Lepisosteus oculatus: one gene and its partners. The protein of the gene in region 1 purifies or fractionates together with the protein of each later gene. This does not show direct contact. Links are inferred from orthologs where the notes say so. Each region holds a gene or a part of one and is shown on either strand. Other genes may lie near its edges.

Region 1 (7,960 bases):
CACAAAACTTCAGACGTCGATCACTGTAGTGACCATTTAATAACCCCCATGAGCACATATACTGTATGATGATAGCCTATTTAAGATTTAGATTTTTACATTTTAAGTTCAATTTAGCCCATTTGTACAGCGCTTTCCACACGAAGTGCTTTACAAATAAGAAAGGGCCCACTTCACCCACCAGGAAGAGCAACTCCTTAGTAATCATTCTATACCACCAGCCCAAGTAGGAAATGGCTTTTCCAGTTGAACTAAAGGGGACATTTAGGTTTGCGAAATTGTGCAAACCCATAGTGGAACTCAGGACAGGGCACCAGGATTAACATGCCTACTCAAACAAACACAGAGAGGAGTTTAACTGACCAGTATCCCTGTTTAGCATCAGAAGGATAGCACCCATTACAGCACAATGTGACCCGCAACCATAATGGGAAGCTGCTTTGGAAATTCTGGTCCGTAAAAATTACCCATTGGTCACCGGCACCACTTAGAACAGCAAATCCCGTTTTCCCTACAGGCCTCCCATCCAAGCACAGACCAGGCCCAGCCTTGGTTAAGTATCAGTATATGACATGTCTGTGTAAGACACTTCCACGCAAGAGGACATTTATGTCTATTCCTGTACTCCCTTTGCCCTTAGAATTTCAATTTGGCCTTCATTATCAGTCTATGGTATAAAAAAAGGAAAAAAAGGAAAATGAATAATACATTTAAAAATAAAACTTTGAAGGATGGCACCTCCTACAGTTGAACGTTGCCATAGTGCGATGCTGGTTTGGACATTCAAATCTAGAGGTAACAGCACCTCCTCCTGGTGAACCAGCGCCACTTTCACTGCCACACCTGTTAGTGAACTCTCATCCCAGGTCTGACCCAGCCTAGCCCCTGTTAAGCTTGAGCTACAAGTGGTAACAGGCTACAAGGTGGTAACGCTGTTTCTAAAAAAAGAAAAGACACTAGAAAAAAAGCAAGCATGGCATTCGCATAAGTCCACCCTTATCACTCAGAATAACACAGAACCTCTGAAAAATGAACAACCAGCAGGTACCCTCACTGTAAGTTGTTTGTACTGGCAAGCACAGCTGGTAATGACCCCTTTTAAAAACGACCTGAAGGCTGGTGATTAATGCAGGTTGAATGTTTTGGAAATAGCTTTTGTACTCTTATTAATAATAATAATTGCTTATACTTATATAGCACTTTTCTGGACACTCCACTTAAAGCGCTTTACAGGTAATGGGGACTCCCCTCCACCACCACCAGTGTGCAGCCCCACCTGGATGATGCGACGGCAGCCATAGTGCACCAGAACGCTCACCACACATCAGCTCTCAGTGGGGAGGAGAGCAGAGTAATGAAGCCAATTCATAGAGGGGGATTATTAGGCTATGATTGGTAAGGGCCAATGGGAAATTTGGCCAGGACACCGGGTAAGGTGTCCTGATAGGTACCACATACATACCAACATAAGAGCTACATATCCATACCTTGCTAGGAATCCTGAAGTTCTCCACAGGGCTGAGGTCACCTGCATTCTCCTGGGGACTTCTGGGACCCTACAAAACATACAACAACCATAATCACCATTTGCTGGCTGGGCTGTTTACTTCAACTCACCTTTCAGTACAGAACAGCCATGCTTTTGTCTCGTACCTTTTTATATTTAACTATTTAACAGCCTCTAAAATCACAGGGCAGGCAGCCCTGGGATATACACCAAGGGACACAGACGGAAACTACAGGGAAGTGTTCTTAAAACTGGGAACAGGAGGCAGTTCTTGGGCACAAAGTGAAGTGAAAGTCTGGAACGAGCTACCCAACCACATCAAACCTGAGTGCCACTCAATCACAAAACAGCTGAATGGGTTCCTCTGATCACTCAGCGACTAAAAACCATAACTACAACTGCCCCTACTCATATGTAAATATTTTAATGCTCTAAAGAACACCACATTTGACCAAGAAATGCAGTGTCACTTCCATAATTGTGCCTACCATTCAAACTCTAAAGCTTTACTGGGTCAATTTGTAATCGTCATTGATGCCCATGAGTGCCCCTATTAGTGCCTATTCTAGAATAATGTCCACTGGCTCTTTGGAATGCAAAGCTAGCTTGGAAAGCCTGATCTTTTCTGATCGGATTTTTTTCTCACAACGTGTTATGGTAATTACAGTTTTAGTAACTAATGACACATACCGCACAGCACAAGAGTATAGAGAGGTTTCTAATGTAGTTTTGCAACAATCTCGATATATTGTGCTACTAAATGTTCAAAACTTAAAACAGTACAACACTCTCTTGGCTACTATTTCATGATAAATATATATGTATGTAATCATGATATCCGAAAGCGTGCGCAGTCATACATGTAGTACATTCCGAGATAAAAAGTACTTCCCTGTACGCCCACTTTCTGCACTCCATTACGGAATGTGCTCCACGTAGATCATCAACATAAAAGAGATGAGGAAGACTTGTTGTACGACATGGGGTAGATTTCAGTCAGTTCTGCGCTACTGAACTATACAAAACAGGACAGCGCTATCACTATTACACCAGTCCTATTGCCTGATCTCAAGTATGTTACGTTTAGCAAGTCTGTTCTATATCCCTCAAAGGTGATGATGACCTATAAAACCGACTAATTTTCAAACAAGATGGTGCATTCAGGATAAATGTTAAGCGTATCGCTTTCGACCGCTTCCCATACCACGCACAGTGCCGTTTCTCTTTTATCGTGAATCGCATCTCATTTAACATTTACAGTACAAACCCAGCTTTACCCACACCTGTGCACAGCCTCCTCAGCCAGGAGCACCGCTCCTTTTCAAACTGATTGTCGTTATATCTCACCTGCCGGGTCATTAGCGATTTTATCTTTTGCATTTTGGTGTACAGTTTATACGTCGTTCCTCAGAGTCGGTAACAAATTGATATCATTCCCGTGTAACTCCAGTTTCAGGTCCTACAATTCATGAACTGATACAGAACAGCCATGTTTGATAGATCCAATCACATGAATAATTCAGTCCGGGTGGTATTCTGGGAGATGTAGTTCTGCGGAATACCTACGCGTAGTTTCCGACATAGCACGATTAAATTGAGAGACTACATTGCCCACTTTCCTTTGGTTGCCGTCAAAGTCTGTAAAATTGCAGGCGAGTTGGAATCTGCTACATCCGTTTTTCTTTGCCTTCGCTACGTTTAAACGTTTCACAAGGCAAATTTGTTTGAATACAGCTTTTCTGTTTTGATAAAGACTGATATCTAGCCACACAGACACGTGTGCGATTTTTAAACGCTTTGTTGTATTTTTTTAACCAAGTCACTCATGTACTATGTCTAGGAAGTTATTGTTTTATTTATTTTGGAAACAAAACCTAGGGTGTTTATATATGTTGGCGAACTGGGCTTTAAGGAGCACAAAAAAACGAATCAATATGCATCTCCATGCGTCTGAGTTAAATAGGCCTAATCAACTGCTTGTTTGGAAAAAGTCCATTAGCGACAACATTTCCGACCAGTGTCGTAAACGCCTTCGCCAATATTCAAAGACTGTAATTTTCTTTAAAATGTTCATCTTTTATCAAAGGATGAGGTGAACACTAGATGGCGCTGTTAGCGGCTGTTTACTCAGGTAGCTCCCTTGTTCAGTGACAAGTGATGGATTTTACAACTAGCGCAGCTCTTCCGTCTTGCAACTGTTTAATAAAAGTGACTTTAAGTAAAAGTTTTTCTTAAAATCTCATTTATTATTTTTAATATTATTTATATTTTGTATTTTTTATTTTACAGCATTCATCTTTTTTACATGTTGTAATTTGACAGATTATTCTTGGTTATCTTTACTTTTTGTTAACTTATTTTTTTACAGGTGGGTAGCTGCGTCAGCATGCGTAGGCTGCAAAGGAACAAGTAATAGGTTTATTCCATGCTGAAAAAAAGAAGAAAGAGAACACAACGTTTCGGCCGTGGAGCCTTCCACCTTGATACCTGAAGAAGGCTCCACGGCCGAAACGTTGTGTTCTCTTTCTTCTTTTTTTCAGCATGGAATAAACCTATTACTTGTTCCTTATTTTTTTACAGCCTATACACCTTTTGCATGCTGTACCGTACCCTGCCGTGAATTTAGGTTTCTTTTAAAATTTTGTAATAAATAAGATGATAAAAAAGCCATCAGTTAACAGATTGGACTTTCCCAGTGAAGTCATTTTTCAAAAAGGCCATTTGTTTGAAAATTTAAATATCACCTAGCAACAGAGAGAGAGCTACCTTATCCCAGTGTGATGACAGGGTAGATGATTTACTAGTCAAATCTAGGCTTATTTTGGCTGCCAGACATTTGAGGTGTTTACCGAGCTGAAGCAATCCTCTGCAACCACCCGTAAAACACGATGCAGGATGAACAGATGGCATTCCACGAAACAATTCATGAAATATGTTCGGGTGTGAGTGGGGTGTATTTATATGTATCACTTGTAGTGTGTACAGTGCCTGAAAGAATAGCTGTTTTCACTTGAGCCAAATAAAATCTATAAAAATATCAATATAAAAAGAATAACTATTTTCATACATTTTTACCTTGCACTTTCTGCTTGTCTAACCCTTTGTCCTTCACCAAGTTCTAATTACAAAATATTTCATTTGAAAGGCTTTTCAGCAGTAATATCCAGTAGTAATTCCCTGTATCTAAACAAAGTGTAATGTACATGATCTGCCTTCATAGTTTCAGTTGATATTATGTTCAGTGCACTTAGGCAGGTGGTCAGAATTATAGGATTAGCGACGTATTTTCTGTAAACGATGTAAGTGAGTTCAGGTCATCTTATTGGCGTCTGTGTGGACCTTGAAGTTGAAGTCATAGCAGTGCCTCGCCATCGGTTTCTGGCTGCAGAATAAGACTTCTGCAGTCATCTGCAGGAATGGCAGCTGATGACGAGTCCCTCTTCCAGGCAGTCTGCACATCTCTGGGGAGACCGTTGTAAAAATCTGGGTACGTGCACACAAGGTTAAAGAGCGCATATTATAGTGGTAATATGAGAACATAAGAAATATTTTAAAAAGTAGGGAAACCTTTCAGCCCATAGAGCGTGAATTCATTTGGTACTGCTAGTTTAGTAATTAGTAGATGATTGATCCAAGGATTTCATCCAGCCATTTCTTGAAAGAAGCCAAACTATCAGCTTCAACACCATGGCTGGGTAACTTGTTCCACACTCCCACAACCGTTTGGGTGAGGTAGCGTCTTCATTCCCGTGTCTAAATGCGATTTCTTGAAGTTTCCACTTGTTTCAACACTGGTTTGTGTCTCACTGTTTATTTTTAAGCAGTCCGCCAGGTTAACCTTGTCAGTGCCTTTGATAATTTTGGATATTGTATTCCTTCATAGTCTTCTTTGTTCAAAGGTTCAGTCCTTTGAGTCTATCTGGTTTCTTGTCTCTGACTTCAAAGCAGCAATATCTTTTTTGTAAAGTGGTGAGAAAAACTGTTCACAATGTTGTAAATAAGGCCTGACTAATGTACTGTACAATTTGAACATAACATCACTTTTGATTGTACAGCCTAACATTTTGTTTGAATTATTTTTTTTTTTGCTTTCCCACATTGACTGGAAAATGTCAGAGATGTGTCCAAATAAACACCCTTTTGCTTTTTCCATAAGAAACTGTACTAGCTCAGTGCTTCTTATTTTGTATATACTTCCCATTTTGTATGTACTGTATAGTGTAATGCTCATCACTGCTGTGTGAATATTAGCTCAACCCAAGCTAGTATTCATACAGCAGCTGGCCACACTTCCACTTATTTGCCATTTAAAATCGGTTGTCATGGAGTTTGACTAGTTTTACAGGAAACCTGTACCACCTCTAATCAGTTTACTATCACGCCTGCCTCAGGTGGTTCAGGCTACCTATCTCATGAAAACAGACTGCTGCTCATACTGCCTCAAGCAGCGAACACATTACATATGGTTTTTATTACCTGCGTGCAAAACACTGCACTTGTCTACATTAAATGCTGCTGTATCTGCCATTAATAATTAATAATTAATAACACTGATGCAGTGCAGTGTATCTAATTCTATGGTCAGAAGTGTGAACTTGATGCACATTATAAGACAAATCAAGGAAAAATGACGGAGTTTTATCTGCAAAAATATCAATAGAAAGAGTAATGATGCAATAGAATAAAAATCATTGAAAAATTTTATTTCTCTACAGGGCAAAATATTTAATCTTATTAAAGTGCACTTAGTGTACTTTATGAATGTCCATGGAAAAACTGTCTATCATAGAAAATATTTTTGCAAAACCACATCCTGAGGGGTGTGATGCTCTTGAGTCTCTGAGCCTTGGCTCCAACAGGACAGTGACACATGTACACCTGCTATCCCACTGTGTATCAGCATGCCCTGGGCAGAACTGGAAGGAACAAAACCACAGCATGCAGACAAGCCTTCTGTCCCTGAGGACACTGAAATAGAAACAAGAACCTCGGACACAACCAACTCACAGTAAAAAAATACTTTTAAAATTATCTGTTATAACAGTCTATTAGTTAATATTTGCCTTACACTGTTAGTATAGCACTAGAAGGATTTAACAACATTTTGAAGTAGGTTTGCAAATGGCAGTGTTGGTCCATAGAAAAATGTGATAAAGTTAGAACAGAGAAGAGGGAAACAGCCAAAACAAGAGGAATTAAGAGGAAACTCATGTTTGTGTCACATCTCTACAGCTTTCTGCAATGCCTTACTCTACATACGCCATGTGGCAAGGGTGTTTTTAAAAATGGTTCTTAAATTATAAAAATGAATACATAGATTTGCCTTTGATCTTATTGTTGCATAGACAAAGGTATTTAAGACTATCAAGAAAGGCAGCGCAATGCTAAAAACCTTCACACAAAAACATAAAATAGCATGGTACTTAAACCAAAGACGTTAAAATGAGGACCTTTTCTTCCTTGCAGTAATTGCTAGTGAACATATCATATTTATGTGTTTAGTTATATTTATGGTGGTCCATTCAATGCATACTGGTGAGGTTATCAACTGCCATTAAGTTCCCAACTATAGACTACATCACTTTCTGATGTCTTCACCAAGACATGATAGTTAAAACTAAAGTGTTTTCATAAGTAAACTGGGACATGAAAGCTTTGTTTATCAAACTTTAAATCGGAATTTAAATAACAGGTTTGTTTTTCCCTGCTGATGCTGTGCTGTCACAATTGTTAATCCTGTTCAGTATGAGAGGAGCCGCAGGTTCAGACATTTGGAGTCTGTGCTTGGCTGAGGACACGATGGTGAGAAGCTGCCATCTGTGGGATTATGACTGAATGACTCAAAGTCAGAATCCCCCCGTAAGGTTTCAGACAGAACCAAATAAAGTATCTTTTAACCATTCATTTCCCAGAATGGTAAAATCTTAAAATTAAATTGTCATTCTTAACAACAGCAAATTATTCCAGCTTTTTAAATAGAAGAAATGTGGTCACACACTACACTTGAATCTACTGTCACACCATTGAGCAGCTGATCTGCAAAACCTGAGCAAGAACGACCATCCAGCAGATCCAAACAGCTGGTCGTGTGGTGCCAGAGCCCTTCAGCACCCCCGAGAGAGCCAGGAGCATGACATCATCAAAACAGTTCCGCCTTCAACATTTCAGCAAGCTGCTTTCCTTGTTCTATCTTTTGCTATCCAAGCACTCACAAATTTGGAACCAAATGGTATTTAATAGTGGGTTTTGGGATATCCAGATAAGTGAAAACAAGCAGAGCAGGTGAGTTGCATTATTGTAAATTGCTCTATTTTTTTCTGAAAATACATCAATGTCAGTCTTCAGTTTGCCCTGTGGTAAAATAATACTGTAGTTGTTTCACTGAAGTGTCCATCCTTTGACAAACACTGAGTGTATCTTCCTGCAGGCAGAATTACAAATAATGTCTTTCTG
Region 2 (7,411 bases), on another chromosome or scaffold:
CGCCCCCCTGCGCTGAGCTGCGATCTCAGTGGTGCTGCTGTGACCGAGGCCCCGCCCCCCCTGCGCTGAGCTGCGATCTCAGTGAAGGCTCCATGCCTGAGGCCCCGCCCCCCTGCACCGAGCTGCGATCTCAGTGGTGCTGCTGTGACCGAGGCCCCGCCCCCCCTGCACCAAGCTGCGATCTCAGTGGTGCTGCTGTGACCGAGGCCCCGCCCCCCCTGCGCTGAGCTGCGATCTCAGTGGTGCTGCTGTGACCGAGGCCCCGCCCCCCACGAGGAGGGGAGGGCCCAGAGAGGATACAGTCCCTGATGGAGGCCTGCTCGATCTGCTGCAGCTCCGCCTCCACCTGCTTGGAGTACTGCCTCAGGTCCACACCCTGGGAGAGAGGGTCAGTCTGGGGTCAGTGTGTGTGTGAGTACCGCCTCAGGTCCACACCCTGGGAGAGAGGGTCAGTCTGGGTCAGTGTGTGTGTGAGTACCGCCTCAGGTCCACACCCTGGGAGAGAGGGTCAGTCTGGGGTCAGTGTGTGTGTGAGTACCGCCTCAGGTCCACACCCTGGGAGAGAGGGTCAGTCTGGGGTCAGTGTGTGTGTGAGTACTGCCTCAGGTCCACACCCTGGGAGAGAGGGTCAGTCTGGGGTCAGTGTGTGTGTGAGTACCGCCTCAGGTTCACACCCTGGGAGAGAGGGTCAGTCTGGGGTCAGTGTGTCTGTGAATACTGCCTCAGGTCCACACCCTGGGAGAGAGGGTCAGTCTGGGGTCAGTGAGTCTGGGGTCAGTGAGTCTGGGGTTTGGGGTCAGTCTGTTGGTCAGTGAGTCTGGGGTCAGTCAGGGTCAGGGGGTCAGTGAGTCTTGGATCAGTGAGTCTCGGGTTTGGGGTCAGTCTGTTGGTCAGTGAGTCTGGGGTCAGTGAGTCTGTTGGTCAGTCTGTTGGTCAGTCTGTTGGTCAGTCTGTTGGTCAGTCTGTTGGTCAGTGAGTCTGGGGTCAGTCGGGGTCAGGGGATCAGTGAGTCTGGGGTCAGTCAGGGTCAGTCTGTCAGTCAGTGAGTCTGCGGTCAGTCAGGGTCAGGGGTCAGTCTTACCGTTTTCAGAGCCTCCTTCACCAGATCATCCTCCAGATTAGCCTGGATGTGGACTGTGAGCACAGAAACTGTTAGAGACACACACACACACTACAAACCCACACTCTCACACAACTCTACACTCGCTGTGTTAAAGTGTACACCACACACACACACTACAAACCCACACTCTCACACAACTCTACACTCGCTGTGTTAAAGTGTACACCACACACACACTACAAACCCACTCGCACAACTCTACACTCGCTGTGTTAAAGTGTACACCACACACACACTACAAACCCACTCACACAACTCTACACTCGCTGTGTTAAAGTGTACACCACACACACTACAAACCCACACTCTCACACAACTCTACACTCGCTGTGTTAAAGTGTACACCACACACACACTACAAACCCACTCACACAACTCTACACTCGCTGTGTTAAAGTGTACACCACACACACACTACAAACCCACTCACACAACTCTACACTCGCTGTGTTAAAGTGTACACCACACACACACTACAAACCCACTCACACAACTCTACACTCACTGTGTTAAAGTGTACACCCCACACACACTACAAGCCCACACTCTCACACAACTCTACACTCACTGTGTTAAAGTGTACACCACACACACTACAAGCCCACTCTCACACAACTCTACACTCGCTGTGTTACAGTGTACACCACACACACACTACAAACCCACACTCTCACACAACTCTACACTCGCTGTGTTACAGTGTACACCCCACACACACTACAAACCCACACTCTCACACAACTCTACACTCACTGTGTTAAAGTGTACACCACACACACTACAAGCCCACACTCTCACACAACTCTACACTCGCTGTGTTAAAGTGTACACCACACACACACACTACAAACCCACACTCTCACACAACTCTACACTCGCTGTGTTAAAGTGTACACCACACACACACACTACAAACCCACACAACTCTACACTCGCTGTGTTAAAGTGTACACCACACACACTACAAGCCCACACTCTCACACAACTCTACACTCGCTGTGTTAAAGTGTACACCACACACACTACAAGCCCACACTCTCACACAACTCTACACTCGCTGTGTTAAAGTGTACACCACACACACACTACAAGCCCACACTCTCACACAACTCTACACTCACTGTCCACTTCATCGAGGATGAACTCGTCAGAGGTCAGGTCCAGGTCACCCAGATTGAGAGCAGGAATGTCATCTGGGTCAGACTTCATCTGTGGAGAGAGACCGAGGGACAGCCGTAACATGGGGGAGAGGAGACACAGACCAGGGGGAGAGGAGACACAGACCAGGGGGAGAGCCGTAACACAGGGGAGAGGAGACACAGACCGGGGGGAGAGGAGAGCCAGACCGGGGGGAGAGCCAAAACACAGGGAAGAGGAGACACAGACCAGGGGGAGAGCCATAACACAGGGAAGAGGAGACACAGACCGGGGGGAGAGCCATAACACAGGGAAGAGGAGACACAGACCGGGGGGAGAGGAGAGCCAGACCGGGGGGAGAGCCTTAACACAGGGGAGAGGAGACACAGACAGAGGGAGAGGAGAGCCAGACCGGGGGAGAGCCTTAACACAGGGGAGAGGAGACACAGACAGAGGGAGAGCCGTAACACGGGGAACACACACCTGTCTCCCTGAGAGACCCCTGTGTGAGCAGTAAGAGGCTGGGAGCTGGCTATGGGGGAGAGGGACGTGTATACAAACACACACACGTACGAGTGAGCAAGGAGCCGCCCGCCGGCGCTCCCCGTGTCTCTCCCGGGGCGGAGGCGCTGCACGTACCTCGTCCTGCAGGTACGCCATGGCGCTGACAGCCGGGCCGGCGTCCGCAGTCTGGAGCACCGCCGCCATCACTGCCCGCATCCGGGTCCTCCGCCTCCCAGCAGCCCCCGCGCCCGCCTCCCGGCGTGCTCTGCGCTGAGGGTTTTTTTTAATGGGTTTTATTATTGAATTATTATTGAATTATTATTTTTTTGCCGTAAAGATCGTAGCTGATGTGAAGAACATGTCGCATGGACGGGATGGACCATTTCATCATACGACAATGTTCAGATTTATAAACTCTATATGTAGTTTTAGCTGTGTGCATATGCGGCGAACTCGAATATAAAATAAATTGGAATATATTCCAATAAAATGTATATTTAAATATAAAATAAATGATACTGATCGATACTGTCTTTCAGATGAAGTTAAAGAAATAACATTTAAGATTGTTCATAGATTTTTATCCGGTTAAATTGACACTTTCTGGATTCAAACACGATCGAGATGACTGATGTGTATTTTGTAATAATGAGAATGAGGAATCTGTGTTACGTGTGTTTGTTAATTGTTAATAAATATATACATAATTGTTTTGGATAGATTTTCAAAATGTTGTTGTTAAATATTTAAAGTTAAATGTTAAATTGTGAGATTTTTATATTATTTTATATTTTATTAGACCTGATTTGGATAAACGATACGTCTTCGTAATTAATCTGTTAATTATTTTGGCGAATCCTCCCTCTATTAATGCTTTTAAGGTAGAATTCTTTTTTTATTTAAACTCGATTAGACATTTAAAGAATCAAAAGGCAAAATCTCCGTCGGAACACGTGGAATTATGTAAAAAGTTTAATTTTTAGCTGTTATAATTGTGAATTCCTCCGGCTGTCAAGTGTCTATTTTTGTATCTGTTTTAATATTTTGTCTCCCCCCTTGTATTTCTGCTGTTTAAATAAAAACTTAATCTAAAAAAAGAGTTCAGCTCCCCTGTACGGTGGGCATTTGTACTACCCGCTGTCTCAGGAAGGCTGGGAGTATCGTTCAGGACACCAGCCATCCCGGTTCCTCACTTTATCTCCCTCCTTCCCTCCGGTCAGCGTTATAGGAGCTATTTTTGGGGGGGATTTATTGTTGCTGTCATTCTGTAAAGCGCTTTGAGAAGCCACCTTTAAATAATAATAATTAATAATTGCTTTTACTTATATAGCGCTTTTTCTGGACACTCCACTCAAAGCGCTTTACAGGTAATGGGGACTCCCCTCCACCACCACCAATGTGCAGCATCCACCTTAAAGGCGCTATATAAAATAAAGTTCATTATTATTATTATGATTATTATTATTATTAAAGGCGCAGACTTCCAGCTTCAGAGACGGCTTCTTCCCCTCCAGCTGTCAGATTACTGAACTCTGCCCCTCCCGCTGGCTCACACGGATGTGTTATCCAAGTCGTGTGTTATTAAACTTCTCGTTGTCGCTGCGGCTGTTCCGTGTTGATGTTTGTGGCGATTTATTTCATGTCTTTGGACTGGAGCGGACGGGCGCGGAAGCGTTTCCTCGCACTCGTGCAGAGGACAAACACACGGGGCGGGATCGTGTGAACACACTGGGACGGACCCAACACTACCGGCTGTGTCCGGTCCCGGTCCCGGTCCCGGTCCCGGACGGGCTGGCCGGGCTGGCGGAGGGGTTTCCAGCTCCCTGTCAGTGGGGTATAACTGTGGCTCTCCGCACACGAAGGTACCCCGCAGTCCAAACGCCTCTCTCGGTGAGGAAACTGTCCCCAACACCAGGCAGAACGGACCCCTCTGTGCCCATCAGGGGGGAAACTGCTTTTAACGCCACAGTGAAACACGCAGCCTTCGAAAGCCATGTCAGTCCCCAGTGCACCGCGCAACAGTACAGCCAATGGCGTCGTAAACCCAGCGCCCGCTGGCCCGGAGGGCACCAAAATATTAAATAATAAAGTCAGTCCGGCGAAGGTGCCGACGAGCTGATCCGAGTTTCAGAGTCGAGGGGGAAGGAAAACCTGGGGACACACCGGCCGCACAGGGGCCGGGCCGGCGGCTCTCTTCCGCACCGAAGGAAGACCTTTTCTTTTCTTTTTTTAAAGAATCACGGGGAGTCGTTTAAAACCGTTTCTTTTTTCTCCCCACCACCACCACCACTTAGAGCGCCGTCCTCTTAAAAAGGCAGCGACAGCGGCCCACAAGAAGAACTCGGTCCGTGTTTCCCCACCGGACGGCATTCGGGAGGGGGCGGCGGCGGTCGGGCGCCGGAACCGGAAGCCCCTCCCCGGAGATCCCGCGATATAGTCTCGCGAGAGCGCGGCCTCTGCCTCTTTGCGACGGGACCCGCGGACAAGATGGTGAGAGGAGACGGGCTGCCGGGGAGCCGGCAAGGCATCCGCCGCCATCGCTTGCACACGGGGGCGCCGGCGCCCCGGCCGCCGCGGGGCAGCCTCTGCCGGACCCCTGCCCGGCCCTGCGGCTCGGTTTGGGTCGGAACCGGGTGCGGGTCTGTTTTAAAACTGGCGCTCGCTGCTGTGCTGTGTGATCCGGCCATATTCCCTCCGAGCCGAGCCCGCTAACCCCCCTGTCTCTCTGTGTCTCTCTCTGACCCGCAGTCACTCGTTATCCCCGAGAAGTTCCAGCACATCCTGCGTGTTCTCAACACCAACATCGATGGGCGCAGGAAGATCGCCTTCGCCATCACCGCCATCAAGGTGAGACACGGGGCTGTGAGTGGACCGGACTGGACCGGGCTCTGGGCTGACCCGCTGTGTGTTCAGGGGCAGGGCTGGGCTGTGGACTGAGCTGCTGTGTGTTCAGGGTCAGGACTGAACTCTGGGCTGACCTGCTGTGTCTCTGGGTGTTGAGGGTGTGTGTTCAGGGTCAGGGCTGACTTGCTGGGTCTCTGTGTAGACTGTGTGCTCAGGGTCAGGACTGGGCTCTGGACTGAGCTGCTGTGTGCTCAGGGTCAGGACTGGGCTCAGGGCTCTGGACTGACCCTGTTGGTGTGGTGTGTTCAGGGGGTGGGCGCTGGACTGACCCTGCTGGTGTGGTGTGTTCAGGGGGTGGGCGCTGAACTGACCCTGTTGGTGTGGTGTGTTCAGGGGGTGGGCGCTGGACTGACCCTGTGGTTGGTGTTATTTGTATTCAGGGGGTGGGCGCTGGACTGACCCTGCTGGTGTTATTTGTATTCAGGGGGTGGGCGCTGGACTGACCCTGCTGGTGTTATTTGTATTCAGGGGGTGGGCGCTGGACTGACCCTGCTGGTGTAGTGTGTTCAGGGGGTGGGCGCTGGACTGACCCTGCTGGTGTAGTGTGTTCAGGGGGTGGGCGCTGGACTGACCCTGCTGGTGTAGTGTGTTCAGGGGGTGGGCGCTGGACTGACCCTGTGGTTGGTGTTATTTGTGTTCAGGGGGTGGGCGCTGGACTGACCCTGTGGTTGGTGTTGTTGTGTGTTCAGGGGGTTTGCGCTGGACTGACCCTGTTGGTGTGGTGTGTTCAGGGGGTGGGTGCTGGACTGACCCTGTGGTTGGTGTTATTTGTGTTCAGGGGGTGGGCTCTGGACTGACCCTGCTAGTGTGGTGTGTTCAGGGGGTGGGCGCTGGACTGAGCCTGTTGGTGTTGTTGTGTGTTCAGGGGGTGGGCGCTGGACTGACCCTGTTGTTGTTGTGTGTTCAGGGGGTGGGCCGGCGATATGCCCATGTTGTTCTGAGGAAGGCTGATATCGACCTCAACAAGAGAGCTGGAGAGCTGACCGAAGACGAGGTGAGTCTGGGGGGAGAGGGGGCTGTGTGTGTGTGTTGGGGTGTAGTTGGGGATGTCTTGGTGGGCAGGTGGAGATGTGTTGGGGTCTAGATGGACGTGTGGGGGCTCACTGCTGTGTGTGTTGGGGTGTCTGGGGCGGGGGCAGGTGGAGAGAGTCATCACCATCATGCAGAACCCCAGGCAGTACAAGATCCCAGACTGGTTCCTCAACAGGCAGAAGGACATCAAGGATGGAAAATACAGCCAGGTAAGACTGCAGTGTCCTGAGGGGGGCGCAGCACCCTGCGGCCTGTGGTCAGTTACTGCTCCCTCCTCACTGGGGTACGGGTCTCTACAGTGCCCCCTTGTGGGGCTGCAGGCTATACAGACCACTGGGGTATGGGTCTCTACAGTGCCCCCTTGTGGGGCTGCAGGCTATACAGACCACTGGGGTATGGGTCTCTACAGTGCCCCCTTGTGGGGCTGCAGGCTATACAGACCACCGGGGTACAGGTATCTACGGTGCCCCCTTGTGGGGCTGCAGGCTATACAGACCACTGGGGTATCTACGGTGCCCCCTTGTGGGGCTGCAGGCTATACAGACCACTGGGGTATCTACAGTGCCCCCTTGTGGGGCTGCAGGCTATACAGACCACTGGGGTACGGATCTCTCCAGTGCCCCCTTGTGGGGCTGCAGGCTATACAGACCACTGGGGTACGGATCTCTCCAGTGCCCCCTTGTGGGGCTGCAGGCTATACAGACCACTGGG
Region 3 (6,918 bases), on another chromosome or scaffold:
ATTTCATATATTTTATATATCCCTGACATGCACCAACAATTGCTAGTGTTCTAATGTTTCAGCAAACACTCACAATTAATTGCTTCAGGCCCTCAAAGGATTGATGCACGGAGTTTGCCGTTAAAGCCTCTCTCTTCGCAGCTGCTTGTTCCCCCAGGAACCTCAGCATGAGATCCTTGACAGCATCTCCCTGAAACACAAAGTCCAAAGTACAAAATACAGAACTTCCACACTGAACTGACTAATGCTTAAAATTCACCTAGTGTCACAGTTTACTGATGACCATTAAATATAATTTAATCCTTTGCTACAGAAGGTGTATTTTATGTTTCTAGTTTGTTTCTAATACCTCATATATACACATGGTAATGCCACTGGGGGCAGGGTCCTCAAGGGGTGGTATTTTGTCCAGAGAGTACTGACTGCTTTGCCCTTACCATGATGGCCAACAGGAGCTGTCAAACATATAATAGAGGCTGCTGGCAATCGGTAAGAGTGAGAAGCAGCTAGATGCCCTCACACAGCCCATATAAGCTACTGTAACTACCAAACTGGCAGCACAAAGAGAGAGTGGTGAGAGACAGAAAAGGGATGGCAAGAGAGCAAAGAGAGGCGAGTGGTGGACAGTGGTATGAACCAGTACTCTGTGTGACATTACTACCACTGACATTTGAAAATGTGAAGAATGGGTTTGTTTGGCGGTGTCCCAATATGTACACTTGCCATCTTGTGTACTTCATATGCATGCTCCTGCTAAAGTCTGCAAGAGCTTAGGATTTCACATTTCTAAATCTGTGTTGCAATTTGTGTTCTCTGAAGTCCGCAGACTTCACTTAGGAATTACCCCCAATTTCTTATGGAATGGTGACGTTTCATGTTCTAACCTATCAAAACCATGTTGCCATGGAGAATAAAATATTCATGTGCTAGTAAATATACACTTTTTACAGTTTTAAAATTCTTAATATTTTATGTAAAAAAAATAATTAGGCTACTTTAGATTCATACTTTATGTTTTCTGGGTATGAAGTTTTGACATAAAGCTTTTATTTTGTCACCTAATTTTGACGGATGAATATTCTTTTACCTGTGGCGTATTTTGTACACAGAATATATAATAGTACACATAGTTATTAATACAAAGCTTTGAGGTATTGCCAAGTCAACCTTGTAAAACTGCAAACGGCGAATGAGAAATTCTTTAAACAAAATCTGCCGACATGCACTTGGAATAAAAGCATCAACAACAGAAAGCTTTTTGACCTTGACCAGTGTAACTAGTGAGTGCCATTACCCTTTTTATAACGATGCACCCTCGACTACTCTCGCACTTGAAGTCCACACTTGCTCTATGTCACAGAAGTGTGGACTTTGAATATGGGCTTACGGAGACTATTGGGACATGTCCTTTTTTGTGCGAGAGCCAGTAAGCAGCTTCTCTGCTGGGCTTAGTAGTTAGGGACAGAGAATAAGTAGTAGCCAGGAGCCCAACGAAGGGATAGGTTTTCTTTGTTGTTTTCTTTAATGGTGGTTGATGTACTTCTCGCACACTTTGAATTGCACAGTCAAACCCTATGGCTTGGGTTGGGTGTGTCTGTTGCATGCCCAATGATGACACTGCCCCTTGCAGCATCACAATATATATATAAAATGATCAATATTGTTGGATTATCTATTTTTTATATATTTTCATATACATTCAATTCAATTTATTTTTATATAGCACCTTTCACAACAAGGTTGCCCGAAGGCACTTAACAAAGCTGTGTGAAAATACATGACATTACAATACAATGTCATGTACAAATATATATATATATTTAATATTTATATGTAATACTCCCTTTCCCTTTAACAATACTCACCTGAAGATTGTCAAACTTCAGCCCAGGCATGGAGAGCTTCTCTTTTCCCAGGGACACAGGGCTGTATTGCTGGGTTGCAACAGAAATCAAGACCTTCCTTGTTTCATCTGAGGGAAGCCATGCGTCATACCTCCTGTCAATTTCACTCATGTTCAGGGCAGTTGCAAAAGGGTCATCCCTGCCTGGGAAGGTGGCCTGCATCTTGGAGAAAGGATGTGCCACTTGAGCAGCACCTTGTGGAGCAGGTGATTCCAGGGGTGCAGCAGCAAAGAAAAATGTAGGGGTACTAGACTCCTGTTCCACAGGTCCAGGTGGAGAGGAAGGCTGTAGTTCAGGAGCTGGAAGGCGCGAGTTGGCATTTGGATTGCTGACAGATATGAAAGAAGATGAGGTTGTAAAAGAATCAAAGAAGTCAGTTGCAGGGTTGGAGCTCCCATTGTCAGCAAAAAACTTGCTTAAACTGGGGCTGGGCTGGCAGACCAGAGGGGCAAGTTTAGTTGGGGTTTCAATAGCGCTGCCAAAACTAGGAGACTTAACCAGCGCAGGCTCAAAGCCATCTGGCATTAAGGACTGTGTTTTAGGTAGATTACCTTGACTGAAAATAGTGCAAACTGGGATTGGCTCATTCTTTGACTCCTTGTTTGTGCAAACATCTGTATGTTGGACCTTGGCGTTTCCGATATCAGATTCTTCCTGCATGGGCTGGCTAGGGATTATTTCCCTTTCACTTCCTTTGGTTTCTTCTTCGAGGTCCCACTGCTTCTCATCTTGAACCGCAGGGGTCACAGTCATCTCTTCAGGGTCACCTTGGTTTTCGATTATAGGTGTCTCAACATTTTGCATGGTTTTCTCATCACTGCATTCGGTCTCTTTTGATTCAAAGTCTCCTCCTTCTTCAAACTGCTCCAGCAGAGATTCCATCTGGCCAGCATCATCTTCACTATTATTCGGAGAGTCTGATATCATGACACTCTCCATCATCTGATCGTTAAGTTTATCTATGAAATTTTCTGAATGGCTCTCTTCTTGTGGTGTGACAAATGACTCCAAATCCAAGTCAATATTTTCCTCTTGGAAGAAAATTTCTGGAGGTTGGCTTTCAGTTTCCTGGGCAGATGAATCTTCATTTCGTTCACTGCCCATTTCCCCAGCAATATCCAGTGTTAGAGATGCCCGATTTTGAGCTTTTGAACTATTGCCTTCCATTGCTTTTTATCCCTTTAAAAGAAACAGTGAATTAATAGTATAACAAAAATCATTTACAATATATCTAATGGGAAACAAGGGCTAAACAATGAGTAAATAGTAAAACTAAAAAGAAGAAAAAAGATAAACACAAAGAAAGAGCATCATTATCCATTTAACAAAGTACATTAACGCCAGTACAATTCAGAGAAAAATGATCTGACTTTTAAGGTACCTTTAGTTTTCTTTAAAAAAGTGCAATATTTATCATGCAAGTGTCATCGACCACTCCAAAATAACAGAAATAAAGCGCTAAAACATCTAATTTATTTTAGAATTTGTGAAATAAACCATGCAAAAACAAATACAAGTAAAACTTATTCGTTGATTATATTAAACCTCTCATTAAAATTCTAACTACTGTAATTCATAATCCAATCATCAAATGCATGATATATTTTGATCTTGTTTCATATTGTTTCAAATATCTTCTAAGATCAAACGCACCGAAGAGTTACATGGGTTTGAAAAAATAAATTCTCTAGCTATATAAAACCAAATAGTGTAAAGTAACGTTAAAATCAACACCTCCTACCTATATTGCACATTGTAAATCAAATATAAGTTACAGTTGCACAAAACTGTCGTTTAAACAACACAAAAAATAAATACAGCAAGTTTATAATATCCAGAACTTAAAATATTAAAAGCTAAATACTGTACGTCTGGTTTACCTTTTCCTAGATGACAGAAGAAGAAAACAGGCACATGCGCACAACAAATAGGAAGAGAAACCAACGGAAGCCGAGGTATACCAAATGCCCTCGAAAAGTGTCGTTTTGTATTCCTGAAAAACTTTACGATCATTTGCCGGGGAAACCTGTGCATTTGTTTTGTGTTATGGTAAAATAGCGTAACAAAATTAGACGGAACATTCACAATATTTTTGTGGTTCGCGGAAATGTTAGCTTAAAGTGATCGATACCTTATATTGCGTGAGGACAGAATCAATGAAACTGACGAATTAAACGTTAGCGTGAAGTGTTAAAACGTTTAAATATGGAGGACGACGCACCTGTTATTTATGGCCTTGAATTTCAGGTACGTACAGATAAAACGTTTCCTGAAATGTGTATAACTAATAAATAGTCCTTGCACATAATAATGTATTTAAAAGTGATGAGATACATTTTACTCAGAATGCAAAACATATTTTATATGTAGAATGCAGAACGTTTTTTGTTCTATAGTCACTAGAATTCCAATGAAGGGATGCAGTTGCTGTACATTTCTTGCTTTCCTAGATTCATTTTTACGTATCGAATTAGAGTCCATTACGATAAGGGGGGTATTTTTCACAGGCATTATACCGCATATGACAATATACTGTAACAAATGATCTTCGTATTACTTTGCACGTGATAATTTTTCAAGGCAAGACTTAGTCTTAGTTAATTTATTACTGTAGGTTACATAAAAGCAACCAATGTGTTACCTAGTCAAATCGTAAAATCCATTAAGATAAGCTGTTAGAAAGCTTCACATTTCTTGCAACCAAAGAACCAAATATTTCTATATTCATTCGAAGGTGTGTGCTGTTTTGAATGGCATTCCATTATAGTGCCTATCAGTGCCTATCTTCCTTGCAAGATCTCTCTCCATTTAATGGGCAGGAGAGCTTCTGTATGCTGTTGAATTTTTAGTTAATGATGTCCTGTGGAACACTCGCTTCTCGATTGGAGATGTTATACATGTGTTTATTTCTTTGATATTAAGCTCTTCAGTATGCAAAGTCATACCATATGATATGTCGTTACTTTCTTAATAATTAAATACTGATTGTAGCATTATGTAAACGGATGCTAAAAACAGTAGTTAAGTTTACTGGACTTAAGTATTTAGAACTTTTTAGAATTATTTAGAATTTTAGATTTAGATTTAAAATCAATTAAGCGACGTAGTGGAATGCCTGATGTGAGATTTGTGAGTGTTGTTAATGAATCTTTATTCTAGTTAATGATAATAAAGATTCCATTTAAAAGGAAGCCGTGTGTGTGTGAATAGGTAAAATCTTGGTTGTGGTACAGCAATTACAGTACATCACTGATAACTGGGATTGAAAAGGAATAGTGAAGAATCTTGCATGTTCCTGCATCAGATCGACTCTTTCAAGATATTCTTTGATATCCGTCCATCCATCCACTGCCAATGGCTCAGCCTCATAAGTGTCATGGCAAGCAGGAGTACATGATTGCTCTGTCTTTGGATAGGATCCTAGTCCTCCACGAAGAGCCCTGGAGAAAAGGGACAATTTAGCCAGCACTGGATGTCCATGACATCAGCATGACAATTTTGAACTGAACAAGTTAGCATGTCTCCGTGATGCAGATGTAAGCCTTCCTGGGTGAACAAAGCTGCTGTCAAGTGTGTCGAAATTCTGATGTGCTGTCGTCTTGCAGTGGGTATGAAATTAGTCAAAATGTTGAGGGCTTTTTATCGAGATTGGGTTAGGTGCAGTCCTTAGTGTGATTAGTTACTTGATGCTTGATCTTCTGTGTGACTTACATGGCCATAGCCGTACAGGAAGAACAAGGTGAGGCATTATTGATATTTGTAAGCTGTTGGGCATATCTGTGCATTCCGAATGTACTGTAGCACTACAAGTGGGACACCTAAAAATGTTTATGTAAGTGCTCTATTTGAGGAGGCAGAAAAATCTTAAAGGTTGTGTTCAGGTCTTGTGAAGATTCAGTTTAATAGTTCCTTCTTCAGACACCCATTACAAGACATTAATCCTTATTAGCGTAAATTTATTTGTTAATGAATACAGCTAAGTACGCCAGCAGAATAGTTAATGTGCCACTGTCATATAAATCATTTGCTCAAACTTTATGTGTTGAGCAACCCACTCTTTGCTTGTTTTAAAAGCTGCTTTGGTCCAGTTCTGTCCTCAGCACCTGACAGATTTAAACTCCAATTACTGTATGTGTGAAATACCCTTAACATTAAAGTCCCAGTTATTTAAATTATTTTACATTGTGTAAAATACACAAGTGCAACACCTTTGGTAGCAAATATTTTGGCAGCCTTGAAGGCCAAATAAGGATAAAACGTTTTGTATTGTCCAAATCTTTTCAGTTTTTTTCCATCTTTATCTTAAACAAAATTCTTAACGTTTCTTTGTAGTTTTCTAGCATTTACCTGTAGTTACAGATTTTCTGTCCGTCATTCTCAGTTACAGTATCTGCAACATTAACTAAGAACCTTTGTTTTAGGATGACACGCTGAAATATTGAGCATTAAACCTGTTGTTGGGAATTCGTTTTTTTCAGGCTCGTGCTTTAACAGCCCAGACAGCAGAAACAGATGCAATTCGCTTTCTAGTTGGTACTCAGTCTCTTAAATTTGACAATCAGGTGAGTATGTACTTATGGAATGAGGAATGAATAAAGGATGGGGGGGTTAATACGAATACAGTAAGAGTGACATTTCCTCTTGGATGACTCATGACTGCAGCAGACCTCCCTAGTAAGTTTCAACCACTTTTTTATTTTTAGAATATTTTGGTAGTCTATGGCACCAATCCCTCTCTGCAGTCTTAGTAATAACTTTTATATAATCCACTGCATACTTTACAACTTTGAGTCTTTTGGTGATTTGTAAAAGTATTATACATACATTATACGTAAAGGTTTAGCTGAAATTTTAAATATTGTAGTATTTCAAAATGTTACTTGTAGATTTTATTCAGTATGAGGTTGACTCTTTGTGTTAATAAGAATATTGATGTTTTTCTAAGATGAAATTTTATGTACATAGTAATATTATAAGTGTGATTGAATTTTCGAACAAAACATTTTCAGATACT
Region 4 (6,873 bases), on another chromosome or scaffold:
ACCGGGGAGACAGCGAGGCTGTGTGACCGGACTGCAGCAGGGTGTGGACCCCTGGGGGAGAGAGACAGGTCACCGGGGAGACAGCGAGGCTGTGTGACCGGACTGCAGCAGGGTGTGGACCCCTGGGGGAGAGAGACAGGTCACCGGGGAGACAGCGAGGCTGTGTGACCGGACTGCAGCAGGGTGTGGACCCCTGGGGGAGAGAGACAGGTCACCGGGGAGACAGCGAGGCTGTGTGACCGGACTGCAGCAGGGTGTGGACCCCTGGGGGAGAGAGACAGGTCACCGGGGAGACAGCGAGGCTGTGTGACCGGACTGCAGCAGGGTGTGGACCCCTGGGGGAGAGAGACAGGTCACCGGGGAGACAGCGAGGCTGTGTGACCGGACTGCAGCAGGGTGTGGACCCCTGGGGGAGAGAGACAGGTCACCGGGGAGACAGCGAGGCTGTGTGACCGGACTGCAGCAGGGTGTGGACCCCTGGGGGAGAGAGACAGGTCACCGGGGAGACAGCGAGGCTGTGTGACCGGACTGCAGCAGGGTGTGGACCCCTGGGGGAGAGAGACAGGTCACCGGGGAGACAGCGAGGCTGTGTGACCGGACTGCAGCAGGGTGTGGACCCCTGGGGGAGAGAGACAGGTCACCGGGGAGACAGCGAGGCTGTGTGACCGGACTGCAGCAGGGTGTGGACCCCTGGGGGAGAGAGACAGGTCACCGGGGAGACAGCGAGGCTGTGTGACCGGACTGCAGCAGGGTGTGGACCCCTGGGGGAGAGAGACAGCTCACCGGGGAGACAGCGAGGCTGTGTGACCGGACTGCAGCAGGGTGTGGACCCCTGGGGGAGAGAGACAGGTCACCGGGGAGACAGCGAGGCTGTGTGACCGGACTGCAGCAGGGTGTGGACCCCTGGGGGAGAGAGACAGGTCACCGGGGAGACAGCGAGGCTGTGTGACCGGACTGCAGCAGGGTGTGGACCCCTGGGGGAGAGAGACAGGTCACCGGGGAGACAGTGAGGCTGTGTGACCGGACTGCAGCAGGGTGTGGACCCCTGGGGGAGAGAGACAGGTCACCGGGGAGACAGGGAGGCTGTGTGACCGGACTGCAGCAGGGTGTGGACCCCTGGGGGAGAGAGACAGGTCACCGGGGAGACAGCGAGGCTGTGTGACCGGACTGCAGCAGGGTGTGGACCCCTGGGGGAGAGAGACAGGTCACCGGGGAGACAGTGAGGCTGTGTGACCGGACTGCAGCAGGGTGTGGACCCCTGGGGGAGAGAGACAGGTCACCGGGGAGACAGTGAGGCTGTGTGACCGGACTGCAGCAGGAGTGACCTTACTGCAGCAGGAGTGAGACAGCGTACTGTGTACTGCGCAGTGCAGCAGGAGTGAGACGGCCGGGGAGAGTGAGACGGTACCGGACAGCTTGGTGATCTGCACGTGCTGGTCCTGCAGGGTGCCGCTGATGCGGGCGCTGAACTCCGTGATGGCGGCCATGTTGGCGGCCAGGCAGTCCATCTCGTCCTCCATCTTCTTAAAGTCGTTCTTCATCTTCCGGATGGTGTCTGGGGCAGAGGACGAAGGAAAATGCTGATCATACCCCCAAAACACCCCCCCCCCGGTTCTCAATTCAGATCCCCCCCTCCCCTCCTCTGCCCCCGCTGACCTGTAGCAGAGATGAACTTGTTGTAGTTCTCGTAGACCAGGGTCTGCATGTCGCTGTCCAGGGCTCGGATCTGCTTCACCATGCAGGCCTCCTGGTCCATCAGCTCGGACAGGGAGCACTCCTTCCTCAGCTGAAACACACATAGGGGGTAACTAGGCTGGGCTGGCAGTTCAGGTCCAGTCCTGTCACAAGAGCAGGACAGCTGGTCCAGTGGTTCAGGTCCAGTCCTGTCAGACCAGGAGGACAGCTGGTCCAGTGGTTCAGGTCCAGTCAGTTAGACCAGGAGAACAGCTGATCCAGTGATTCAGGTCCAGTCCCGTCACACCAGGAGGACAGCTGGTCCGGTGGTTCAGGTCCAGTCCTGTCAGACCAGGAGGACAGCTGGTCCAGTGGTTCAGGTCCAGTCCTGTCAGACCAGGAGGACAGCTGGTCCAGTGGTTCAGGTCCAGTCCCATCACACCAGGAGGACAGCTGGTCCAGTGGTTCAGGTCCAGTCCTGTCAGACCAGGAGGACAGCTGATCCGGTGGTTCAGGTCCAGTCCTGTTAGACCAGGAGGACAGCTGGTCCGGTGGGTCAGATCCAGTCCCATCAGTCCAGGAGGACAGCTGGTCCAGTGGTTCAGGTCCGGTCCTGTCAGTCCAGGAGGACAGCTGGTCCAGTGGTTCAGGTCCGGTCCTGTCAGACCAGGAGGACAGCTGGTCCAGTGGTTCAGGTCCAGTCCTGTCACACCAGGAGGACAGCTGGTCCGGTGGTTCAGGTCCAGTCCTGTTAGACCAGGAGGACAGCTGGTCCAGTGGTTCAGGTCCAGTCCTGTCACACCAGGAGGACAGCTGGTGCATTCTAATACACTAGTTAATGTAATATTATTGATCCCTGATCATCGCCATCCTAATACACCGCGAATTCCAGTTCCTCCCCCGCCTGCTGCTGCAAAACAAGGCCGCCTTTGGGGATAGAATAAAGACAATCTCTACTCTCCGACAGTCACGGTGTGAACACTACCAGCTCCATTATTAATTATTATTATTATTATTATTATTATTACCTTGTTGAGATAGACCTCCGGGTCGAAGTGCGGCCCGTTGATGTCGCAGGGATCCAGCGACTCGCACCTCTCCCCGGGTTTGCCTTCCTCGTTCAGCCCGTAGTACAGCTTCAGCATCCCGTGAACCCGGCGCTGGCGGCCCGCTGCGGCCTCGGCGGCGGGGTCCGAGTCCATCTCGGCCGGCGGTGGCGGTACCGAGCCAGAAACTCGCGCGAGCAACCGTCAGGGACCCGGAAAAAAGGGACCGGACCGGGAGAGATTCCGGGAGGAGGGTGACGCGTCAGAACCTGCGTACTACGCACCGAAGGGAGGGGGCACAGCCATTGGTGACGTCATCCGGAGGCGCCCCGTCTCCGTCTCCCACCTTATTGGCCGGTTATGTAAAAAGCGTCATTTTCAGCTTCTATAATTATTGGTAATAATGCGCTTTATTCCATATAGCGATTTTAAAAGTGGCTTCCCAGAGCGCTTTACAGGGGGGAAAAAAGATTTTTGCAATTGATGTCTTTTCAAATACATCCTTTTTTTTTTTTACATAAGTGATTTGGCTTAACATCGACGACTAACGGACTCCACACGTAATTTAAATAATGTCAAAACTTTCTAAAACTATTAGAATGCCTTCTTATCCCAGCGGTGATGTACAAATGTGATACAGACCATTGCAGTTTCCTGTTCTCGATAATCCTGATCCCATTCGTGCAAAACATTTATGACATTACTAGACATTATGCCATATGTGCTGAAAACAATGCCCTATCTTTATACCGTTAAACTTACCACCCTTCTGTATCTCTGAAGTCCCTTTGGAAAAACCTAACGCTCAGGTCCACAGGAGGGTTGTCCCTTGAGGAAAATGAGTCTTTACATCAACTGTCTCCCTGAGTGTTCCCGGGCCCATTCCTGGAGATTCCAGGCTTCATTTCCGGGGAAACTCCAAGCCGATCCCGGTGGGATGGGATCTTGTTGCCCCTGGGGAACAAGCGCTCGGCTGCCAGCAGCTGATCCCCAAAGGCCTACAGACATGGTCGATCGGACCTCTCACCCAGACACTCGGGCCAATTAACCAATTAAGATCAGAAGAGCAACACACAGCAGAATAACCCTGTGCCCGGACCTGCTCGTGCCCGGGTCTGCGGAGCGGTGGCTGAGGATCTGTGCCTCTGGCTGGGAGGTTGACGGTTCAAATCCCGCGGCCGGCAGAGGAATCCCACTCCGCTGGGCCCCTGAGCAAGGCCTTTCACCCCAACTACTCAAGGGGTGCTGTATAAATGGCTGACCCTGCGCTCTGACCCCCAGCTTCTCTCCCTGTCTGTGTGTCTCATGGAGAGCAAGCTGGGGTCTGCAAAGAGACAAATTCCTAATGCAAGAAACTATTCATGGCCAATGAAGTGATCTTTTCTCTTATCTAAGAGCAGGGGTTCCCCGTCCCGTGCCTGGTGACCCCCCCTACACCTGCAGGCTTGCGTTCCAGCCCAGCCCTCGGGGACACAACCAAACCCTTCGTCAGTTCAAGCAGGGGGCTGCGCCAATAGGCGTGGGCTGCAAAGGAACAAGTACAGGTTTATTCCCTGCTGGGGAGAGAAGAAAGGAAGCGCAACGTTTCACACCCAAAGAAGGCTCCACAGCCGAAACGTTGTTTCCTTACTTCTCTTTTCAGCCTGGAATAAACTTTTTACTTCTTCCTTTGCAAACCCTTCATTTACTTCACAGTAACAAGATTCCTTTTTTTTTCTCTCCTTAGCGCGTTGCACAGCGCCCTGGGGTTTGGAAAGGAGCTTTATAAAAACAGACTATCCATAAATAATTACAATTAATAGCGTGATAGTCGGATGAATGCGAAGGGGTTTTGTGAGTTTAATAAAATGCAGGTATCTAATGAAGACCAGCAGGTGCGTCAGCGCAAACACAAGGACGACAGGCTGAGAACAAACGGCACACAGGGAAAAGAACGTTTTAGTGGAAAAAGAAAATCTCTTTTTATTAGAACAGAACTCGGTTAGATCTCTGGGCTTAACTCTAGACGAGACGACGCCTTCCGGACCCCCTTTTCCCGACATCATCTCCCACCTGGCCAGCATCCTGGAGCTGGGGATCACAGGCCCCACAGCTCCTCCGCGAGGGCAGGGCGGGTCCTGACAGCAAGGTGGCGCGGCTCCCGTCCTGCAGGGGGCGCCGCACCTGCGGGGGTGTCCCAGCTCCTGCAGAACTGGGAGGATCTGGTCAAGCAGATCAAGCCCCTGATTGGTTTAAGTGGTTAAGAGCTGAGCTGGAACGAAAACCTGGTGGCGTCTCGGGCCCTTCAGGACCGGATTGTGATTAGAAGAAGATTAGAGAAGCAGAGGCAGGGATACAGACAGATCCCATCACTCAGGCAGACCACAGGCGGGGACAGACAGGAGGACAGGTGTCGTGGCAAAGACAGAAACAGCCGATAGAGAAAAAGAGAGCTGGAGATCAGACACATAAACAGATCGGGGAAACAGAAGTGACCGTCATAAAAGACACGCAACATCGACAGAAACGGACAGCACGAGCCGCGATCTCTGCAGAGACGCAGTCAGAAGTTCTGTGCGGTCCGAGTAAGGCATATTTAAGGCATCAATATATAATCTCACCATCCGCCATTTTAAATAATCGCATTAAAAAAAACAATCTGTTAAAACTCGTTAATAAGATTTTCCACTTTTAGAGTTCACCAGGAAAAAAAAAAAATATATATAAAGCAGTGTGTAAATTCTAGTAACCCTACAGTGAGGAAGTGGGATAGAGTTTTGGTTTAGTAACGTAGTGAAACAACGGAAGGATTAGTGACAGGAAGGAGGGGAGTGCTTGTCCCGTACGGTATTAATCCGGCTTATTGGGTATTTGGGAATGTTGGGGGATAAGGAGGCCAGACTGCGTGACCGAACGACTGCAGGGATGGGGGAGGGGGGCGTGTGGCCTGCAGGGGGGGGCAGCTGGTGGAGCATCCGGGTACGGATCAGCCAGGGCCACCGCCTACTCCCCCAGGGCCAAGCTAAGAGCTCTGGCCTCCAGGAGACCCCCACCGCCATCTCCTCTCTTCCCTTGGAATAACAGCGATCCGCGCGACTCAACAGCTGGGCTTCAGCGCGCCCCAAGGCACTTACTGTATGTACGCGATCTGATTGTCTCTTGGATAATAAAGACACATCTTCCCCCTCCTCCCCTTCCAGGAAGAGCTACGATTCAGCATAAAACAGGGGTAAAAACAAACAAAAAAAAATTGCCTGTAAATATATTTTTTAAGGACGCACGTAGGACGATGAGCAGCTGGGTCATAACTACAGCACAGGGCACCTGTGGGCGTAGGCGTGATCAGGCTTGCTCGTTCGATAGTGGTGATGGAGACTCATATTTAATAGAGGAAGGGCTTGCGTCTCACAGTGGATGCAGACATGTGGGGGGCAAGACGTGTCACTCGAGTGGTGAGGAAATCCCACCTCTCAGGCATTCTACCCATCAGGGATACTGGAGAATGGAAATATTTCACTGCAGACTGATCCACTCCAGGTGTGACAGTGCTGTCAGTCAGACTCCCAGTGCGCAGCAGACTGATCTGCTCCAGGTGTGACTGTGCTGTCAGACTCCCAGTGCGCAGCAGACTGATCCGCTCCAGGTGTGACAGTGCTGTCAGTCAGACTCCCACTGCACAGCAGACTGATCCGCTCCAGGTGTGACAGTGTTGTCAGTCAGACTCCCAGTGCGCAGCAGACTGATCCGCTCCAGGTGTGACAGTGCTGTCAGACTCCCAGTGCACAGCAGACTGATCCGCTCCAGGTGTGACAGTGCTGTCAGTCAGACTCCCAGTGCGCAGCAGACTGATCCGCTCCAGGTGTGACAGTGCTGTCAGACTCCCAGTGTGCAGCAGTCTGATCCACTCCAGGTGTGACAGTGCTGTCAGTCAGACTCCCAGTGCGCAGCAGTCTGATCCGCTCCAGGTGTGACAGTGCTGTCAGTCAGACTCCCAGTGCGCAGCAGTCTGATCCGCTCCAGGTGTGACAGTGCTGTCAGTCAGACTCCCAGTGCACAGCAGACTGATCCACTCCAGGTGTGACAGTGCTGTCAGTCAGACTCCCACTGCACAGCAGACTGATCCGCTCCAGGTGTGACAGTGCTGCCAATCAGACTCCCAGTGCACCACAGTCTG

Evidence for each region.
Region 2: the proteins of vps50 (region 1) and vps52 purify together in Homo sapiens (affinity purification with mass spectrometry; 4 studies listed by BioGRID and IntAct, counting the BioPlex papers as one, with this or other methods). This does not show direct contact. The link is inferred for Lepisosteus oculatus from reciprocal best matches to the Homo sapiens genes VPS50 and VPS52.
Region 3: the proteins of vps50 (region 1) and eipr1 purify together in Homo sapiens (affinity purification with mass spectrometry; 4 studies listed by BioGRID and IntAct, counting the BioPlex papers as one, with this or other methods). This does not show direct contact. The link is inferred for Lepisosteus oculatus from reciprocal best matches to the Homo sapiens genes VPS50 and EIPR1.
Region 4: the proteins of vps50 (region 1) and vps51 purify together in Homo sapiens (affinity purification with mass spectrometry; 7 studies listed by BioGRID and IntAct, counting the BioPlex papers as one, with this or other methods). This does not show direct contact. The link is inferred for Lepisosteus oculatus from reciprocal best matches to the Homo sapiens genes VPS50 and VPS51.

What each region holds. Positions count from the first base shown.
Region 1 is NC_090705.1:4,851,608-4,859,567, forward strand, and holds the start of vps50 (syndetin), read right to left. Parts: upstream 3,006-7,960; 5' UTR 2,888-3,005; coding exon 2,855-2,887; intron 1,557-2,854; coding exon 1,488-1,556; intron 1-1,487.
Region 2 is NC_090709.1:39,252,602-39,260,012, reverse strand, and holds the start of vps52 (vacuolar protein sorting-associated protein 52 homolog), read right to left. Parts: upstream 3,012-7,411; 5' UTR 2,981-3,011; coding exon 2,900-2,980; intron 2,333-2,899; coding exon 2,245-2,332; intron 1,135-2,244; coding exon 1,082-1,134; intron 377-1,081; coding exon 301-376; intron 1-300. Other genes in the region: rps18 (small ribosomal subunit protein uS13), read left to right, coding at 5,252-5,254, 5,513-5,611, 6,576-6,662, 6,808-6,909. UniProt on the Homo sapiens protein: Acts as a component of the GARP complex that is involved in retrograde transport from early and late endosomes to the trans-Golgi network (TGN).
Region 3 is NC_090697.1:14,813,051-14,819,968, forward strand, and holds the start of eipr1 (EARP-interacting protein homolog), read left to right. Parts: upstream 1-3,899; 5' UTR 3,900-4,109; coding exon 4,110-4,151; intron 4,152-6,382; coding exon 6,383-6,466; intron 6,467-6,918. Other genes in the region: trappc12 (trafficking protein particle complex subunit 12), read right to left, coding at 74-190, 1,866-3,071. UniProt on the Homo sapiens protein: Acts as a component of endosomal retrieval machinery that is involved in protein transport from early endosomes to either recycling endosomes or the trans-Golgi network.
Region 4 is NC_090713.1:21,231,081-21,237,953, reverse strand, and holds the start of vps51 (vacuolar protein sorting-associated protein 51 homolog), read right to left. Parts: upstream 3,009-6,873; 5' UTR 2,877-3,008; coding exon 2,703-2,876; intron 1,787-2,702; coding exon 1,657-1,786; intron 1,556-1,656; coding exon 1,409-1,555; intron 1-1,408. UniProt on the Homo sapiens protein: Acts as a component of the GARP complex that is involved in retrograde transport from early and late endosomes to the trans-Golgi network (TGN).